Linked DNA regions of Oryctolagus cuniculus. Each later gene encodes a partner of the first gene's protein in a complex. Links are inferred from orthologs where the notes say so. Each region holds a gene or a part of one and is shown in the gene's direction. Other genes may lie near its edges. The genes, in order: NAA35, NAA30 and NAA38.

Evidence for each region.
Region 2: the proteins of NAA35 (region 1) and NAA30 are in contact, whole or in part, in a cryo-EM structure (PDB 7MX2), measured with the Homo sapiens proteins. The link is inferred for Oryctolagus cuniculus from reciprocal best matches to the Homo sapiens genes NAA35 and NAA30. Residues at the interface, in NP_001308810.1 of Homo sapiens: Leu45, Gly46, Leu48, Leu56, Ala59, Met60, Ala62, Glu64, Lys69, Glu121, Phe313, Pro314, Arg315, Ala444, Leu510, Glu511, Leu512, Glu517, Pro605, Lys606, Phe607, Glu608, Leu609, Asp610, Val614, Arg615, His618, Arg619; in NP_001011713.2 of Homo sapiens: Glu221, Pro238, Ser240, Tyr242, Thr243, Arg245, Tyr246, His249, Asn250, Lys304, Ile324, Glu334, Asn335, Leu336, Gly337, Val339, Arg340, Asp341, Lys342, Arg343, Phe345, Arg346, Tyr347, Tyr348, Leu349, Leu359, Trp360, Leu361, Arg362.
Region 3: the proteins of NAA35 (region 1) and NAA38 are in contact, whole or in part, in a cryo-EM structure (PDB 7MX2), measured with the Homo sapiens proteins. The link is inferred for Oryctolagus cuniculus from reciprocal best matches to the Homo sapiens genes NAA35 and NAA38. Residues at the interface, in NP_001308810.1 of Homo sapiens: Val30, Asp31, Ile32, Thr33, Phe36, Ala39, Cys40, Leu43, Leu45, Glu47, Leu48, Leu49, His50, Asp51, Phe54, Glu58, Ala59, Ala62, Ile63, Glu64, Met65, Met66, Ala72, Gly73, Met74, Gln306, Arg307, Leu309, Pro310, Pro311; in NP_001307854.1 of Homo sapiens: Ala41, Arg42, Leu45, Glu46, Leu48, Leu49, Arg61, Phe67, Leu68, Cys69, Thr70, Asp71, Arg72, Cys74, Ile77, Arg97, Val98, Leu99, Gly100, Leu101, Ala102, Met103, Val104, Pro105, His108, Ser111, Ile112, Glu113, Val114.

The regions. Positions count from the first base shown.
Region 1 is NC_091432.1:144,534,673-144,541,440, reverse strand, and holds the start of NAA35 (N-alpha-acetyltransferase 35, NatC auxiliary subunit), read left to right. Parts: upstream 1-3,025; 5' UTR 3,026-3,146; intron 3,147-3,834; 5' UTR 3,835-3,839; coding exon 3,840-3,963; intron 3,964-6,768. UniProt on the Homo sapiens protein: Auxillary component of the N-terminal acetyltransferase C (NatC) complex which catalyzes acetylation of N-terminal methionine residues. N-terminal acetylation protects proteins from ubiquitination and degradation by the N-end rule pathway.
Region 2 is NC_091443.1:19,392,943-19,399,759, reverse strand, and holds the start of NAA30 (N-alpha-acetyltransferase 30), read left to right. Parts: upstream 1-2,720; 5' UTR 2,721-2,851; intron 2,852-3,142; 5' UTR 3,143-3,143; coding exon 3,144-3,944; intron 3,945-6,817. UniProt on the Homo sapiens protein: Catalytic subunit of the N-terminal acetyltransferase C (NatC) complex. Catalyzes acetylation of the N-terminal methionine residues of peptides beginning with Met-Leu-Ala and Met-Leu-Gly.
Region 3 is NC_091448.1:52,403,384-52,409,220, reverse strand, and holds NAA38 (N-alpha-acetyltransferase 38, NatC auxiliary subunit), read left to right. Parts: upstream 1-2,743; 5' UTR 2,744-2,970; coding exon 2,971-3,051; intron 3,052-3,248; coding exon 3,249-3,432; intron 3,433-3,596; coding exon 3,597-3,709; 3' UTR 3,710-3,756; downstream 3,757-5,837. Other genes in the region: CYB5D1 (cytochrome b5 domain-containing protein 1), read right to left, coding at 990-1,220, 1,677-1,895, 2,019-2,095, 2,196-2,355; TMEM88 (transmembrane protein 88), read right to left, coding at 4,701-4,970, 5,158-5,367.

The DNA.
Region 1 (6,768 bases):
AGATAGGGTTCAGTTTACTATGCATTTATGCTATATGGGTAAAATTTGACCTCCCAAGAACAGGGACAGGTGTAAGCCAAACTTATCTCACTTAGCAAAATTCTACTGAGATACTATTTCAATCACTTAGCAGGGCTGGCAATGTGGCATATGGGCTAATCCTCTGCCAGCAGTGCTGGCATCCCATATGAGCACTGCTTTGTGTCTAGGATGCTCCACTTCCAATCCAGCTCCCTGCTAATGTGCCTGGGAAAGCAATGGAAGATGGCCCAAGTTCTTGGGCCTCTGTACCCACATGGGAGACCTGGAAGAAGCTCCTGGCTGGCTCTGCTGTGGTCATTTGGGGAGTGAACCAGTGGATGGAGACCTCTCTGTCTCTCCCTCTCTATGTCTGTAACTCTACCTATCAAATAAATAAATAAAATCTTTAAAAAAAAGAATTTTCCTTATATATAGGCTGGTTAAACAATGAAAGGGCATATTTACATAGCTATCCATGGTAACACTGTTCACATATTAAAAGCCTAGAAACACCCATCAACAGGGAACTTACTTGAAAAATTGTGATACTTTCTGTCAGTGAAGCAGTATGACTATTTTTTTAGAGCAGCAATTGAGGACATAACCAGATGAGAAAAAAATAAATATACACATAGTTGTCATCATCCTAATGTGACATTATGAAAATCAGATGCTTATTTGAAATTATACATTTTGTATGAGGATATGCTTTTTTTTTTTATTTTTTTGACAGGCAGAGTGGACAGTGAGAGAGAGAGACAGAGAGAAAGGTCTTCCTTTGCCGTTGGTTCACCCTCCAATGGCCGCCACGGCCGGCGCGCTGCGGCCGGTGCACCGCGCTGATCCGAAGGCAGGAGCCAGGAGCCAGGTGCTTTTCCTGGTCTCCCATGGGGTGCAGGGCCCAAGCACCTGGGCCATCCTCCCCTGCACTCCCTGGCCACAGCACAGAGCTGGCCTGGAAGAGGGGCAGCCGGGACAGAATCTGGTGCCCCGACCGGGACTAGAACCCGGTGTGCCGGCGCCGCTAGGCGGAGGATTAGCCTAGTGAGCCACGGCGCCGGCTGGAGGATATGCTTTTGATAAATATTTTCATATTTCCACCCAATTTTTTTTTGATTTACTTATTTATTTGAAAGTCAGAGTTACAGAGAGAGAGAGAGAGAGAGAATGAATGAATCTTCCATCTTCCGGTTCACTCCCCAAAAGCCCACAACAACCCAGATAGGGCCAAGCCAAAGGCAGGAACCAAGAACTTCAAGTTGTTTTCCATGTGGGTGGCAAGGACCCAGTCACTTGAGCCTTCATCTGCTGCCTCCCAGGATGTGCATTAGCAGTAAGCCGGGTTGAAAACACAGGCAAGACTTCCACCCAGGCACTGCCAGATGGGATGTGGGCACAGCCTAATCTGCTACACGATGCCCACCTGTTCACAGGTACGCTGAAAGTCCTTGGAAAATAGGCTTGTTTTGGTGCAGAAAATTTTAAATCATGCATTTTTTGTAATGCACATTTGTCATGAAATTTATGCACCCAAACCATCTTTAAATTCCATTTCCCTCAAACTTTTCAAAAGTGCCCTTGTAGTAGTTTTCTGTTTCAAAAATGCCTTTATTTAAACAAAACAGTAAGACTAGCTAACAGTGGCTATTAGTAGCAATTCATAGTAGAAATGTCTAAAAATAATGTGTCAGAAAACAAAACACCATATTTAAAACGCTGATATAAACATACAGAGGATAATTAGTTTAGAGGATAATATATTTTAACAATTTTATAACGTTATTACTGTGTATTCTCAAGTAAACATAAGACTGAAAAATGAGGGGGGCCAGCATTGTGGTGTAGCGGGTTAGGCCACCGCCTGCAGTGCCGGCATCCCATATGGGCGCTGGTTTGTGTCCTGGCTGCTCCTCTTCCATTCCAGCTCTCTGCTATGGCCTGGGAAAGCAGTGGAAGATGGCCCAAGTCCTTGGGCTTCTGCATCGTGTGGAAGACCTTAAAGAAGCTCCTGGTTCCTGACTTCAGATGGATGCAGCTCCAACCGTTGCGGCCATCTGGGGAGTGAACCAGCAGATGGATGACCTCTCCCTCTCTCTGTAACTGTACCTCTCAGATAAATAAGTAAATCTTAAAAAAATAATAATAGAGCTGCTATGATCATTAATGTAGAAACCTTCGTGTGGATGTAGGCTTTGCTTCCCAGGTAACTACCTGGGAGTGGAATTACCATTCATGTGACAAGGATGTGGTTCTAGGAAAATAAGGAATTTTCCCGAGTGGCTGTTCCACTCCGAAGCCGCGGGAGAGACCCAGCTGTCCTGCCGTCTTCATGTTGGCCACTCTGACCGGCAGACGGTGGTCAAGGTGGGCGCCCTACCAGCGCCCACCTCGTCACAGTAACCCCATCTAAAAACCGACCACTCTGTGTAACTCTTTCAAATAAATAGATAAATCTTAAATAAATAAATAAACCGACCACTCTCGCCGTATAACTCTTTCAATTAAATAGATAAATCTTTTAAAAAATTAAAATAAAAAAAAATTACTTCTTAAGTCATGTGGCAGTCCGGAAGAAAATGGCTGGCTTGGCTCCGCAAGGAATTTATTTCTAATTTCCTCTCAGGAACTCCGCAGGCGCCGCTCCCAGAAAACAGTCGCAGCCCGACCCGACGGGGCTTCCGAGCGGCGCCGTTCCTTCAAGCCGGCAAGCACCGAAGTCTAAGCACATCTTCACCGCCTCCATCCGCCCCAGCGTCACCTTTCGAAGAATTTCCCAGGGAGCCTTGCGGGACGGGGCGGGGCGGGCTCTGACGGCTGAGGCTCCGCCCCCGTCAGGCACCGTCAGGGACTCGGCCCGGGCTTCCGGTCTCGCGATTCGCTCTAATACCGCGAGAAGAGAAGATGGCCGCCATCAGTCGAGCCGCGGCTGTAAGCGAGGAAGGGGGTGTGGCCGGGGAGCGCAAAGTCCCCGGGAGTAAGGGAGAGGGGGCGGGGTCGCGCGCGCCGGGCGTACGCATGCGCGCACGCTGCCGGTCGGGCTGGGCTGAGCGGGGAGGGGACGGGGGCGTCGTTATTTCCGTGGTCCGGACGGTGCGTGGCGGCGCGGGTGGCCACGGGAGAAGGAGGTATGGGCGGCCTCTGGGGTGCCATTGAGACCCCCTTGTTTCGGGCGTAAAGGAGAGCAGCGGCCCTCTACCCCCCCACACCGGGCGTCTGGCGGACCCCGGGGACGTCAGGTCACCCTTGCGGCGCCGGCTGCCCGCCGAGGCCCTGGCCTCGCCCGCTGTTCCCGGGGCCGACGACCGGCGCGGCGACAGCCCTTGTCCTTGCTTCGGCGCCCTGTAGGGCTGGGCCGGGCTGCCCCGGGCGCGGCGGCCGCGGAACGAGTGCCCGCCTCGGGTGCGCCCGCACCCTGGGCCCGGCGAGCGGGGCCGGGGTCCCGCCGCGGCCCGCGGGGCTGTTGGCCCAGGAACGGTGCCTGGATTGGAGTGGTGGTCGTCGGGGGTGGGGTTGGGGGGTCCTGGGCCGCGGGGAGGGGCCTCTGGAGCTAGTGGTCGGGGTTGTGTGGCAAGGCAAACTCAATGGTGGCTCTCAGGAAGTGGGCAGAAGTAGTATTAATGAACGTTGATCATAGTATAAAACGTGATTTTTTTTTGCTTTTTTTTTTTTTTTGCAGTAGCGCTTACAGACTTTAGAGTTGTGCTTAAAGAGTTTCTGAGACTTTGATCCAGCCCTTACACACACTTTTTTTTTTTTTTTGCAACTATTCTTGCCCTGCAAGCTGCATGCTCTTACACCTGTTAATTTTTCCAGGCGTCATGGTGATGAAAGCGGCTGTCGATGAAGATGATTCAGGCTGGGAACTCCGCATCCCGGAAAAGATGGAGAAGAGCAACACGAGCTGGGTGGACATAACTCAGGACTTTGAAGAAGCTTGTCGAGGTGAGTTCGAATTTTTGGGGTGAGTAGAAGTTCAAAGTCTGGGAAAGCATAAAAGAACATGACCGTGGTTCCCCAGCGTGTCCCAGGAAATGAAGTGAAATCAACAGGTAAAATGTGGTTTATCAAGCTGGTTATGCACAGTTGCACTCGACCCTCTCATTTGACCTTTCTTTTGAAGCCAGTATGTGTTTGACATAAATTCAGTACAGATGGTGAGGCAGTTAACGGAGTAGGAGCAATCATTCCCAACTGTGGAACTACTAATTACGTGGGCCTGAAAGGTGGTGGGATTGTTGCGGAGTTGAGGTTTGGAAATGATCAGGACGTGTAACTCCCTGCAGTGTCTTCCTGTTGCGGGTAGAGTAACACCCAGGCTGGAAGACCTGGCCGGGCCTGCCGCTCAGCCTGCCTTTTCATACCACTGCCCCCGTAGGCTCCTGTTCCAGTCACGAGGTCCTTCCTATCTCTGTGTTAGACACATCAGCGTGGTTCCTATGTATACTGTGTGTTCTCTGTCTTAAGTTACTTTGCGCCAGGCTCCTCCTCTGCCCCTTTAATGTCACCCCCACACCACTCTGAGCAGAGTCACCCCCTCATTTTCTTCTCCAACCTCACCTCAGCGGAAACCCCTGTTTTGTTTCCCTCATGGTGCTCACATTTGTCAGGAGCCTTCATGTTCAGGGGTTTGTTGTTTGTTGTCAGCCCCATCCACTAGATGGTGAGCTCTGGGTTCAGAGATCCTGTCTGTCACCCTACCCCACAGAGCAATGCCTGGCACATAGTTCAGTATACGCCTGGGAATTAATGATGAGACAAGTGAGCATGTTTGAGGGGAAGGCGCCTTAGGGAGAGACTGAAGATAAGAGAGAGAAACAAATAAGACATTGAGAGCGTAGAATTGAAAAGAAGGACGGAAGCAAGGACGTGGTGGGAAGATGAAGCTGGGGGAAAGGCACAGGGACACCCTGAGATTGGAGGGGCTGATGTACAGCTGACTCCTGTGGGAGTCTTCCAGAGGGCAGGCAGAGTGCATGCTGTGAAAATGCGTGCGCATGGGTTTCGGGTTTTTTTGGTCACCAAAGTAAACTGTTGAATGCCATGAGCTTTTTGAAGCACCCTCATAGTTCTACGTGGATGGGGAGGGATGCACACTTGACGGCTTCTTCTTTTCCCCAGTTTATTTTTTTTTTGGTAACGGTGAGATGCACTCTGAAGGAGAGAAGTAAAGGCTGGGGAGCAGTAGCAGGTGGAACGGGAGCCAGCTGAGTGTGAGCAAAGTGATAAATCATGTGTATGACAAGCCCCTTGTAATACAGGTTCAGTTAAACGCCTTGGTGTGATGGTGGGAACAGCAGTAGACTGGGAATTGGGTGACTGCCTATATATGTGTCTGAGGGAGAAAGAACGAGGTGTAGTTTTGTGCCTGGAGATCTTTGACCATTAAGTGGTTCAGACCTTTCATGTTGTCCTGATTCAAGAGTCCTGTATTAGAGGGCTGTCATTATGAAGGGAGATTCTACGAAAGATATATGGCTTCAGTTGGGTCTTGAGGGAGAGGTTGGGTTTCTTTAAATACTTACCCCAGACTGAGATGAGCCATATGAGCCAGAGTTCAATGAGAGTTTCATGTTTTAGGAATAGAGAAGAGTTTTGCTTGGCTACAAAGCGGTTTGCAGTGCTGGGACTTGTAGATCGGCAGTGCTTTTTTAAGTTTTAGCTCAGTTTATAGACGGTTGGAAATCTAAGAGTTTTGAGCGTAAGATTAGAAGTGTATTCCCCTTCATGTTTGGTACAGTGACTTGGACAGTGTGACTTCTGAGAAAATAGTAAGCTTTTGAGTGAGACATGAGCTGAAATTCCAGCTCCTTTGCCACTCATTAGCTCAGTAACTGTGGATGGTTTATTTAAGCAGTCTTTTCTCCTCTGTGAAGTAGAGCTACTTTATAGTCTGAGTGATTAAATGAGATAGTAGATGTAAAGTACTTGGTGGACGGTGGTGCTAGTTGTTCTTACTCATAGGATTTGTTTAATTCAGTAAAATTAAAATAAGGACAGTCTCCCAGCATAATCTGAGATGGATTGAGAGAGGGCCTGTAACCTTAGACAAGTTTTTTCGCTTAGTCTACATGGAGATGTTAGGACTTTGGTCTAAGATAGTGGCAGGATGGAGTAGAAGGGTTACATATGAGAATAAAGAAAAGTTCATGAGACCCAGTTAGTAAGTGTTGGGGTGGTGAAAGGAGCTGAGGAGTGTTGTGCCTTGCGATGTTTCTCTCCGTGACAGTACAGGAGAGTGAGCGCGTACACTCCTCAGCCTCCCCTTCCCAAGTCTTGGGGGAGACTTCAGAGCATCTCCTTCTAAGCACAGGTAGCTTTATGATTTCCTGCTTTACCTTAGAAATTATGGAAAAGTTTGCATTTTGCATTGTGTGTGTCCATTTATGCTATAGGTTCTTGGCTCTCAAATCGTTGTGTTAGATTTGAAAACATTAGGCAGCTATCCTGTGCCTCTGAGTGCCCTGAGACATGATGTTCACCCAGGGTCCCACACACTGCGGTTTGAAGATCATGGGCCTGCGGCATTTAGGCCGAACTAAATATGTGACTTGAGAGGCCCTCTAACTTTATTCCCACTTCTTGTTTTCATTTATGTATATCTCCTAATTTTTTGTGTTGTAGCGAGAATTGAATCCAAGAAAGCAGATTAGAATACTGGTGGGAGAGATGCTTTTGCTTGGCTTCATGTTATGTCATAAATGAGCTCAGTTTCTTTGTGGAAGGAACCTTGAGTGGGAGATCAAGTTT
Region 2 (6,817 bases), on another chromosome or scaffold:
CAGATCGTGGCTTCTTTGGAGAACAGCCAGGTTACACCTAGAAACTGGTGTACTGACAACTATGTATTTATTTTAAAACAATATATGCACATTTGAAAATACGGCTCTGAGTTGTGCTTTCTAAAGGACATTCACGGGGTCACACTACAACATGTCTCATTTATTCCCTTCTTCCCACGGCCCCTTTGTTTAGCCCTTTCAATGAAGGGGCTGTGGCAAGTGGTGCTTTCCCGAGACAGCCACAACACTATTTGTGGTCTCACACGCTCCTTGAGAGCTTCGTCTCTCTCCATCACGAGGCAGGAGACCCTTCCCCTCCTTTCAAACCTGCATGTGACTTTGTGACCGTCTGGATAAATATAATGCACAAGAACTGGAACTGCATGATTGAAAAGCATTTTGTTGTCGTTGTTGTTTAATTTATTTGAAAGGTATAGAGATCTTCCATGTACTAGCTCACTTCCCAAATGCCTGCAGCAGTCGAGGCCAGGCCAGGCCAAAGCCAGGGGCCAAGAGCAGCATCTGGATCTCCCATGTGGATAGCAGGATCCCAAGAACTTGAGTCATTACCTGCTGCCCCCCAGCACTAGTAGGATGCTAAGATGAGAAGCAGAGCTGGGGCTGAGACCCAGGTGCTCTGGGATGAGACCCCCACAGTCAAAGCAGCATCTTAACACTGTGTCAAATGCCTGCCCCAGTACACCATGATGTCTAAGACTGGGTCCCACAAGTCTGTGAAGTACCCTTTTGTGTATATTTTCATCTTTTAACCAATGTAATTAACAGAATATTCTATAATATTTCTGAATCGTATGTTCAGTCATTCTTATATTCATAGACATGTAGGTGGTCTGGAACTAGTTTTTCTGTGTCATAAACAGGGTTGAAATTGGGGCAGGCACTATGGTATAGGTTAAGCCTACAGGTGCGGTGCAGGCATCCCATATGGGCACTGGTTCGAGTCCCAGCTGGCACACTTCTGATTCAGCTCCCAGCTAATGGCCTGGGAAAAGAGAAGATGGCCCAAGTGCTTGGACCCCTGCACCTACGTGGGAGACCTGGAGGAAGCACCTGGCTCTTGGCTTTAGATCAGCCCAGCACTGGGCCATTGTGCCCATCTGGGGAGCAAATCTCTCTCTGTCTTTCCCTCTGTCTGTAACTCTTGCCCTCAAATAAATCTTAAAAATAAATAAATAGGAGCTGGCGCTGTGGTGTAGCGGGTAAAGCTGCCACCTACAGTGCTGGCATCCTATATGGGCTCTCCACTTTCCATCCAGCTCTCTGCTATGGCCTGGGAAAGCAGTGGAAGATGGCCCAAGTCCTTGGGCCCCTGCACCTGCGTGGGAGACCAGGAAGAAGCTCCTGGATCCCAGCTTCTCATCGGCGCAGCTCTGGTCATTACAGCGAAGTGGGGAGTGAACCAGCGGATGGAGGACCTCTCTCTCTTTCTCTATCTCTGCCTCTCTTTCTCTCTCTGTGTAACTCTGACTTTCAAATAAGATAAATAAATCTTTAAAAAAATAAATGAATGTGCTCCTATATGCCTCTTTGTGCACAAATGTCGATATTTTGATAGGATACAACCCTGTAAAGGAGTTAATAAATGCATATGAGACAAGCAGAACTGTGTCTGGCGCATAGAAAACATTTCATGACTATCTCTCTAGGTGAGTCTCTCCAAGGAAGGTGAGCGTTTTCCTTTATCATCTCCAGGGACACGAACTCTAAGACTCACAACAGTCCCGCTACAGTGTATTCCGCCTGCACAGTTTAGGTTACAGCAAGAAGTTGCACACACTCTCAGAATTCTAGCCTCAAAATGTCCACCCGTGGCACGCTGGTAGCACCTGACCGGCCCTACCAGTTTTTACAAACTTACTTTGCTCTGTGCGCTAGAGGGTCAACGCTGTCGGCTTGCCTCTCGGCCCAGGCAGAGGAGTACACAGACACGGGCTGCACTTGCTTCTCTCCCTGCTGACCGCGCCAGGCCGGCCACGTGGGCGGCCGCGGCCGGACACCCCTGCACCCGGGCTGCCCACCGATCACACGTCGCGTCCCGCGTTTCGCACCGTGCTGCTGGGATCGCGCCCCGGGCACGCCTGGGCTGCCCGGCACCTGTCAGTCACACTTCACCTCCAGCTTCCCCTGGCCGGGGGAAGGCAGTGAGCAGCGGCCGAGGAAACGGGCGGCGATACCTGTTCCCGTGTCTCAGAAGGGGAAAGGCCGGGTCAACCCAATCCCCGCCGCAAGCCTCCCATTTTCACAAAGTTTCCCCAACTCCCTCTCCCCTCCCGTTTGCTGCCTGGATGCGCTCCATTTTAAACCCCTTCCCTTCCAACCGCACGGCCCCGGGTTAGGGCTAAAGTTACAAAACGCGGAGCTCAGGAAAAACATTTTTTGGGTGATTTGTAAAAGGGCCGGATCCGCAGGCCCGGGGCGGCGGGCTGAACAGCGGCCCCGCCTGGCCGCGTAGACGCACCCCAGAAACCCCGAGCAGGGATGCGGCGCGGGCGACTCCGGGGCCCACCGCGACTTCCCCGCCCCGTAACCCCACCCGCCGGCCCGCCGCCGCCGCCCTCCGAGCCCGCACGGGGACACCTTCGTCCCCGCCCCTCGCACAGGTCACCTCCCGCCCGCCCCTTTCCCTCGGCCCGGCAGCCGGCAGGCAGGGAAGTGTCGTAAAGCCAGGCCCAGGAAACTTTACCCGGGGTAACAGCCGAGGCGCTTTACGGCGGCGGCTGCTGAGTGAGAGCCTTGGCGGCGGTGGCGGCGGCCGCGGCGGCGAGGGAGGCGGCGGCGGTGGTGGCTGAGTGGCGGCGGCAGCGGCGGCGGCGGCGGGGACCGGTGCGGGGTGAGCCTCCAGGAGGGGTCGGGGAGGGGCCGCGGTGACAGCGCTGGCGTCTGGGCCCTGGCGGACAGCGGCGGCTGGGCTGCGGGGTGGCGTTGAGGGGCCCGGGGTGGGTAAGGGTGGGTGGGTTGGGGGGGAGCGGCGCGGAATTGGGGCGGCAGCGCCGTGAGGGACGGTTTCTGCCTTTGTTCCCCCCCACACACACTCGTGCCGCCCCCCCACCTGCCGTCCCCTCCGCCCGGCGTTGGGCGACAGCGTCTCATGGCCTCCGCTCTCGGTCTGTGTCGCTTCTAGGATGGCGGAGGTACCGCCTGGGCCTAGCAGCCTCCTCCCACCTCCAGCACCTCCGGCCCCGGCGGCGGCCGAGCCCCGCTGCCCCTTCCCGGCGGGGGCCGCGCTCGCCTGCTGCAGCGAGGACGAGGAAGACGACGAGGAGCCCGAAGGCGGCGGCGGCGGCGGCGGCGGTGGCGGGAGCCCGGCGGGCGGCGAGGCGGCGGCGGCGGCGGCGGCCAAGGGGCTTCCGTGCCTCCGCTGCCCTCAGCCGCCGCCGGAGCAGCAGCAGCAGCAGCAGCAGCAGCTCAACGGATTGATCAGCCCCGAACTGCGACACCTCCGGGCGGCCGCCTCGCTCAAGAGCAAGGTCCTGGGTGCAGCCGAGGCGGCCGCCGGCGGCACGGGCTCCAAAGCGACTGCAACAAAAGGAACCGGGGTGCCCTCGGGCGAGAGGCCCCCTCGCTCGCTCTCCAGGAATGCGAGAACTGCGCTCCCCAGCCGGGCCGAGGCGGCGGCCCGCAACGGACTGGCCGAGGGCGCCGAGCCGGAGCCCGAGCCGGAGCCCGAGCCGGAGCCCGAGCCGGAGGAGGAAGACGAGCAGGTGCGGCTGCTGTCTTCGGCCCTGACCGCAGGCTGCAGCTTAAGAAGCCCCTCGGGCAGGGAGGCTGAGCCCGGGGAGGATCGGACGATACGATACGTCCGATACGAATCCGAGCTCCAAATGCCCGATATCATGAGACTGATCACCAAAGATCTGTCCGAACCCTACTCCATTTATACTTATAGATATTTTATCCACAACTGGCCGCAGCTGTGCTTCTTGGTAAGTGCACGGAAGGAAACGTGGGTGCTCCCACAGCCAGGTGCAGGCGGCGCGGGGCAGGGAGTGTGCGGGCCGCGTGGACGCTCGCCCCTGCGTGTCGCGGTGGCGGACGGGATGTGCAGTGCGTGTCCACGCTTCCTAGCGAGTGCACGGAGCCGCTTCGAAGGGAAGACCTCGCCACCCGGGCTGGCCTGGGACCGATGTAGATGCGCCGCACCTGTGGGCTGCGTGGTGGTCACCGGGGGTGGGGGCGGGGGTCTCGTGTCCCGTGGACCTGAGCTCACAGTGTGTGGTCGTGGTGAACTGTCTTTAGCTGCCCTCCCTCAGCACAGGCGTTGAATTTGGTCGTGGCCCTGGTCGGGCGCAGCCCTCGGCAGGACTGAGTGTGTGCACAGGATGCTGTGCGGCCGCAGGTCCTCCAGGCCTGTGCCTGTTCCCTACCGCCACACCAGCCCGCTTCCCCGTGCCCCATCGCAGAGGTGCTAACACTCGGTTCCCGAAAGACTCCTGAAACTGGAGCGAAAATGCCCTTTTGTGAAATGCAGGAAGCTTGAGTGTGAAACTGTTACTACTCTGAGTTTTTTTTTTTTTTTAAGAAACTGGCCATAGATGGGCCTAAACACTGGTTAACCCTGGCTTGTATTGGCTCTATGTGATGAAATTCTTCTTACTTATATGAAAGTGAAAAAGACTTGATATTAGACAAGCTGAATAATACAGTGCGAGTAATTTCCTCACAGAGCTGTTGACCCAGTCTCAGTCTGTATGAAACTTAAATATTAGCTGCAGGTATATGCTTTTTACCATGTACTCACAAACATTGTTCCCCTTGAGTTTGACTAAAAAGAACGTGCTTTTAAGGAGTATTTTATGATATGTGAAGGGAAAAGTCACCACTGATGTGTTTTTTGGTTTGTTTGAACGTGGACTTAGTGTCACTTGCTGAATCCTGGCAGTGTGTTGTGACAGTACTTAAATCTTTCTGATTTCTATAGCTTCGTGGTAATTTGAAAATATAATGTGGGTATTGAAGGTAGTGATAGTTCTGCTATTTTCTGTGTTAATTTTACACAAACTTCAGTTTAATACCTTTGTTTAAACTAGGTATTATTTTATAGTCTAGAAAATTGTTAGGGTTCTAAACCTTGTATCAAAATAGAAGTTCTAAGACATGTCTGTGTCAGTGAATATAGAAGAATGATTTATAGCACTATTATAAATGTCATTAAATACCATTGTAATCGCTAAAAATTGTAGATTGATTTAATTGTGCAGCAGTCCAGCGAAAGTGTATAATTGAATCACATTTTAAATTGAAATAGATGTTTTTCCATCAATTCCAGGAAGTAGTTGCATATATAAATATATATATATGCTATTTAGTCAGTATTTGAGTCCTCATAGTATGTGGACCTTTCTCAGCTTGTCTGCTATTTTAGACTCTGATAAGCTTATTGTTAGTAAACTTTAGCCTTGATTGTATATAGAATCCTCCAAATTCATCAACTGATTTGTACCTTAGCACTTTATAGCCAAAGTTGAAAATTAAATCTTGAATGTCTAGAAGTTGAGATATGCACAAGTGGTTGACCTCTGTAAGATTTACTAGTACAAGAATGAATCTGGAGGTATTTTATTGCACAATAAAACATTAGTTAAAACGGGCCATTTAGAACTGAGGCCTTCATGTTGGCATATTTTTAATTTAAATTTCATGTGAGAACTAAGTTTTTAAATTGTGAATGTTTATTTCATATCATTTTAGAACTGAAAGGGATTCTAGTCTAGCCCAACTTTGTGGTGTTTTTTTTTTTTTCCTTGTATAAAACATTTAAGGATCAGAGTGACTCAAAATGGTTAAATTCCCAGGCAAAGCTCAAACCCTGGTCTCCTGACCTGAAAAATGGCATACCATTAACCTATGTAGTACAGATCATTGTGTGTTACCAAATTATCTTCACCAAAGGGTAGTTTCCCTTAGAAACATCTATTTCATGAGATTGGAAACCTCTAAAATGTTTCTGGTTTCCATGTGTAACGTGTAATGGGTCAAATGGAATATATGAGATTGAACTTTATGAAATTGCCAATACTTGATTGACAAAAATGACAATTCCTGTAATTCTAATTATTGCAACAGAAGTGAAAACAGAGGATGGTGGAAATGTGAGGTGCCATCTACCCTGTACCGAACCAATTTGTCTTTACCTCCTTTGGAGTCACAGCATTTTCAGGTGTTAGTGCGTTTTTGAAGTTCTTAAACTTTACTATCAGCAATGTAATACAGTACTTCCGTTCATTTGTTCTAAATTTAACTTCCCAGCTTCCTCCAGTTTTCTATTTTCAGTGTTCTATATTTGGGAATCTATTTCACACAATTTTTATTTTTCATGGTTTTGTAGGCTGGCAAGCCTTTGGTCTTGTAGAGTTAAGTCTTAATTTTGCTAGAGATTTTTCAGTTCTCATCCTTGGGAAAAAATATTTAAATAGAATGAGTTTCATATGTATGTACAGAAGCTTTTTTAAATTTTTTTTAAGATTTATTTATTTGAAAGATTTACAGAGAAAAAGGATAGGTCTTCCATCTGCTGGGTCACTTCCCAGATGGCCACAAATGCCAGGGCTGGGCCAGGACAAAGCCAGGAGCTAGGAGCTTCTTCCATGTCTCCTACATGGATGTCAGGGGCCCAAGCACTTGGGCCATCCTCCGCTGCTTTTCCCGGGCTTGCAGAAGCTTTTATTTGGAAAAAATTGACAGACAGTTGGCTGGTTCTTGCAAATGTTTATTCATCTGCAGTTTATCAGGGAAAAATATGGTATTGACCTTCCTCACTGCCAGAGGTGATATTAATAACAGTGTATCATTCATTGGG
Region 3 (5,837 bases), on another chromosome or scaffold:
TCCTTTTGGGAGTCAGCATTTCACAGTCAACCCCGTCTCCCTCGCCTAAGTGCAGGGCCCTTCGTCAGAGAAGCTGCTCACCGAAGCGTCCCAGTGCACAGGCTCTCCCCCACTGCAGCTTGCTTTTGAGTCCGTGAGTACCCACCTCTGCCCAGAGAAATTCAGGAGAGGCGCTTTGCTGAGGCTAACAAGGAAGTAGTTGGCCGTCCTCACTGCCTCGCCTTTGCCGCTGGGGAGCTCCCTTACGGAGACGGTAACTGCTCCCCAGTGCGCACGAAGCCTAAACAAGCCAGTGTCCCAGAGAGTGCTCTGAGGCTGGCGTGAAGACAGACATGGAGACGGTCCCTTGACAGTGAACAGAGCTCAGACTTGGGGTTGGGAAGTCTTGGATTCGCCTTCCGGCTCTGACGCTCCCTAACTAACATGCCATAATGACATTAAGTCTTTCTGGGTTTCAGAAGAGTTATGCATAAAATAGCAGTAGGATGCCCACTTTTGGGGGTAGTTATATTGGGGAATATAATGTCCCCAGCACAGTATCTAGTCTGAGCGAGCCGGATGCTCTTCAGAAGGGAGAGAAGCCAGTTCTGTGTGGTCGCTAGGCCATTTCTGTCCCTGTCTGTAAATCCCATCTCTACTGCTGTCCCATCTCCATGATGGCCACAGCTGTCCTCCATCCCTCGTCCCTGTGTGGCACTCCTCTTTCTGTTTCTATCAGAACGTCCTACCTGAGCTCGGACTCCTGGATCTCCCTGATCCAAGACACCGTGCCTTCCTGTGTCTTTCCTAAACATCTGCTCACGTCTGGCATTCTCCCCGATTCCCTCAGAGCACCTGGTGGTGGAGCTGGGGAGCAGCTTCACACTTCGGAAGAGCAGGGACCACAGAGGGGTGAGGGGGTCTAGGCCCAGGCTCCCCACCTCTTTTCCTCAGCACAGAAAAAGTCAGACTCGAGATCTGTCGAGTCCACATGAGCATAATCTCCTTTCCTACAGCTCTGTGAGGTCGTCATTGAAGTAGAGCAGTATTGCAGGAATGTGGAGCGAACCATCCATGCTGAGAAAGTCAAATTCCTCCTCCTCATCCCGGATCCCATTCTCCTCCAGGGTATCATTCATGTTCAGATTCTTCCCTTCGTATTTCCACGTGTAGCTGGCTGCATGTACGTTATAGGGCAGGTAGCGGTGGAGGATTTCCCACATTGACTCCAGAGCCCCCACCTGGAGAGACAGGGAAGCAGCCCAGCCCTGGCACCACAGCCTCAGGAGGAAAGCATGCAAGGAGGGGGCGCACAGGCCCACCTGTCTGGACAGCAGACAGTTCTCAGGTGGCCCTGAATTTAGGGTCCAAGCCAGCAGCCCCTCACTTTCTGCCTGCTTGCATCAGAGTAGGCTAATAATAACGTTGGACTGCCGTCCAAATCAGCAGTGTAGGAGTTTCCAAGACCCACCGTCCCTGGCTGCGAGAATGCGGTCCCGGCACGAGAAGGAAGCCGTCTCATAGCCTCACAAGCCGGACACCCTACAGGCCCCCGCCCTGGGGCCCACGCAGCCTGCTTCCCCCAGCCACCTCAGGGTAAAGGGGGAAAACAGTCCCAGCTGTTCTGGGGCACGGACAGCCTGAACGTCTGCGGGATCCCCAGCTCCTTCCAAACTGTCCCCGGCACCAGTTCTCACCTCCAGCGTGTGCTCCTGCGACGTGAGCGTGTTAATGATGCGGATGTTCCGGGTTTTGGGAGACAGCCGTCCCACCTCGTATTGTGAGCCCAGCCACCAGGGCTTCCCGAAGTCATTGGCCCAGTCCGAGCGGGGCAGCTGAGGCGGAACGTGCACAAAGCGGCCCCGCGGGGTGCGGTACCTCAGGCAGCCCGTCAACGGATCTATGTGCTTGCGGATCTTTAAAGCAAAGCCGGGGGGGGGGGGGGGTCAGCGGCGCAGGCTCAGGGGACCCCCGCTTTTCCTCCCCACCCCAGCTCTCCGGTGCCCCTCCTCCCAGCCCCGAGGTCCAGCACAGCTCACGTCTTTGGTCTTGGGATCAAACCAGTGGCTGATGTCCTGGCCCGCAGCTTCCACGATGGGTTTCAACAGCAGGTCCCCTGGGAAGGGGCAGCTGCCGTCAGCGCCGGCCACCCCAGAACCGGACACCACCCCTCTCGCGCAAAGAACACACACCCCGGCCCGTCGCGGGGCCCTTACCCTTGTATTCCTCTGCCAACGGCGTGAGGTCGTACACGTATCCTAGGTAGGACACCCAGAGGTCCTCGGGCTGGTTATGTTCGGCCACCTCCGCGGGCGTGAAAAAGCGCCGCTTGAAATACTCGAACTCCGGCCCGGCCACTAGGCCCCGGCGCGGCATGGCTCTCGCCCTACTGGTCGCCGGCCCCTTTTGTGGCTTCCTCGCTCGTCAGCAGAAACTACTGCCTGCTCCCGCTGGTCCAGGAGCTAAGCTGAGTGCGTTTGTCCGCTGACATGGAAACCATTGTCCTCTCCCGGCCACCGTAGCCTGAGATTACCCACCGTAGCCGAGGCGGGGCTTGGGCTGCGTGCGCTCCTGGGAAACGTAGTCTGAACTCGTCCCGATCATTGTATCGAGCAATCGAGTTAGTTCCGAGAGAAAGCGAACACACTTCATCTAAACTCAATGGCCTGTGCTGCACGAGATGTTTAGGACGAACTGTCTCCCGAGGCAGAAACATAAAGTGAGGAAGGCCAGCACGAAAGAAGGCAGCCTCGCTAAGTCACGTGGCTCCCAAAGGCTGGCTAGAGGTAAACCTCTCGCGATATCTTGTGAGCCTGCGGCGCTGGAGAAGCGGGCGAAAGCTCGCGAGATCCCGGCAGGTGCCGCGGAGACTCGGCGGGGGAGAGGCGATCTCGCGAAAGGAAAAAGGTCGAGAGCGCTCGCGAGATCTCACAGCACCGGACCCGAAAGGTTCCGGGGAAGTTTAGGGGCCCAGAGGAGGCCCTGGGGCCAATGGCTGGAGCTGGGCCGACCATGCTGCTACGCGAGGAGAACGGCTGTTGCAGTCGGCGTCAGAGCAGCTCCAGCGCCGGGGTTAGCGCGGGCTCGGGTTCTGGGATCGAGGGGCTGTCGGGCTGCAAGATGGGGTACGAGGGCGGGGGGACTCCAGCTCCCGGCAGCCTCCGGGCTGCGCGTGCGCGCCCCGCGGGCTGCCGGGAGCTGTGGTTCCGCAGGCGAGCGGGCGGGCAGCCGGGGCCGCGGGGTGTGAGCGCGCGTCCCGCCCCGCCCAGGACTCGGACGGGGAGCGGGAGGACTCGCCGGCTGCGCGCGCCCGGCAGCAGCTGGAGGCGCTGCTTAACAAGACTATGCGCATCCGCATGACCGACGGACGGACGCTGGTCGGCTGCTTCCTTTGCACGGACCGCGACTGCAATGTCATCCTGGGTTCTGCGCAGGAGTTCCTCAAGCCGTCGGGTCAGTGCCCGGAAACGCACGCCCGCCTCGCCAAGCGGCGGAAGCTCCACCAAGGCATCCCCCCTGCAGGGCCTGGCTGCGCCCCCTGCCCCTGGTTTTCGTGGCACTGGAGGGGCGGGACCGCCCCCGGCCTGCCTCCCTGATGCTCTCACCCTTCTTTCCAGATTCCTTCTCTGCCGGGGAGCCCCGTGTGCTGGGCCTGGCCATGGTACCCGGACACCACATCGTTTCTATTGAGGTGCAGAGGGAGAGCCTGGCGGGGCCTCCGTATCTCTGACCACAGTCGCGCACGCCTTGGCAGACTTCATTAAACCCATGACCGAAGTGGCCCGTGTCTGTGTGTAGCGGGGGCGCCAGGGCAGGAGGAGAGGGTTTGAGGTCCGGAGCCCCGAGCACTGTCAGCCCTCACCCTTAAGAGTGGCAACGCTTCCCTCAAGTTCAGGGCTGGGAGTGGGGAGCGGACCGAGCTGTAAACCAGCAAGGCCCCAGGGTTGGGCCCCTGCATCTTCCCGCCCACGCTGCTCTCCCAGGACTGCGGAGGGAGGGGGCGTCATCCTGCTCCGGAAAGCCCATTGTTTCCCAGCCCGGCCTGGCAGCACGGAGTTCCTCTGAGCTGGGGTCAGAGAACGGGCTCGGGTCCCCAAGGGGAGAAAGGCAGGCTGCCTGGAGCGAGCCCCCACCGTTCTGCTGCTGGGGAGGTGACTGGAGTCAGGGCCGGAGCTCTGGGGTCTGGCCCGGAAGAAGGCGCCGGTGCGATAAGGATGCTGGGGGCCCGCGCGTGTGCGGCCCCAGGCGCTCCACTCATTTCCTGCTCCTGGGCACGAGGCCGGGTGACAGTCCTCGGGCCACCCCTCTGTTCGGAGAGCGCATTCAGTTCATTAATGCTTTATTGATGTGTGGTCACTGCTTCCCCTCCGCTCGGCCAGTGCTAGAGGAGCTGCACCAGAAAAGGAGGGGACTAACAAGATTTGCTCCTCCTGTTCGTGGTCAGCGAGAGGAGCTGGGGCGGGGGGGGGGGGGGGAGGCGGTGCAGGGTCCAGCCCAGACGTTCAGAATTCGGATGTGCGTAGCAGGAGGCAAGCGGGTGTTCTGGGATGCGAGCATTTCACCAGCATCGGGTCCAGGGGACTGCTCTTCGCCAAGCGGGGCTAGGACCAGGCTCAGGCCGGGGTGGGGGCGGGGCAGGACAGAAGATCCCAGGGGCTTCGGGTCCTTGGGCTGAGAGGGAGGGAGCGCAGACGCCGGGGCTGCTCTCCAGTGGAGGGTCCTCAGACCCAAACCTTCCCGGGTGTGGGACCGGCCTGGGACCCCGACGAGGCCCGGGGCTGCCGGGGCTGTGAGGCGCGCCGGCGCCGATAGAGGGCTCGGCTGTAGGGCACGAGGCAATCCGCCAGGCGGAGGCGCAGGCAGAGGCGGCGGTAGCTGGCCAGGGCAAGCACGAGCAGCGGCACGAGGAGCAGGAATCCGGTGACCAGCAGGGCCGTGAAGCCCGGGTCCCGCAGGTGTGCGGTGCAAGGGGGTGCCTGGGAACGCAGGAACTGTGGGAGGAGAAGTGGCGTCAGGCCCACGCTGCCCCTGGCCACGCCGTGCACACGGTGGGAGCAGCCCAGGCAGGCGGAACCTGCGACCCGCAGAGACACCACCCCCAACACACACCCCGACAGCAGACAGCATCACCGCACACTAAACACCCGCACTCACGCGCGCCCGGGGGCTCGTGCTCACCTGGGAGTGGCAGAGGAAACCGAAGCCCAGCATGGTGACAGCGGGTAGCAAGATGGTCCCCAGCACCAGCGCCAACAGGAGCAGGTTGAAAGCAGCCACCAGGAGATTCTGGGCCGTCACCAGGACCGCGCAGGCCCAGCAGTCCAGGGGGTCGCGGGGCTCCGGGCCACCGCCGGGCCCCGCTCGCTGCGCCCCGGGGACATCCGCCATGGCCCGCCTGGTTCCCGCCCGCTGGGCCGCGGCCCTTATAGCCCTCTTTCCTGCCCCTCCCCCGGCCCAGCCTCTTCCCACCCCCCTTATCCTGGAATGCGGTTCTAGGATTAGGCACCCCCCAGCCCGAGGAGCAGCACGGAGCCTCCGCTGGACATTCCACAGGCGCCGCGCCGGGGTCTGCGCAGCGCGTCCCCATCCATCACGGCCAGGCGGCCCTCCGCCCGGAGCTCGCCCCGCTGTCACGTTATCAAAACAGGGCTTTGGGTGGTTTTTTTTTCTTTTATTTTTAATATTAATATTCTCACACAAAAATCACCGAAGTTGGGGTAGGGTTGGGAAGACCCCTCTGCCCCTGGGGCAGAGAGACAGTGCAGTGCGAGGGGGCGGGACTGTAAACCCCCCACCCCTCCGCAGCCCAGCATGGAGGAAAAAGAAAAAAAAAAAAAAAACACAACAACAAAAGGAGA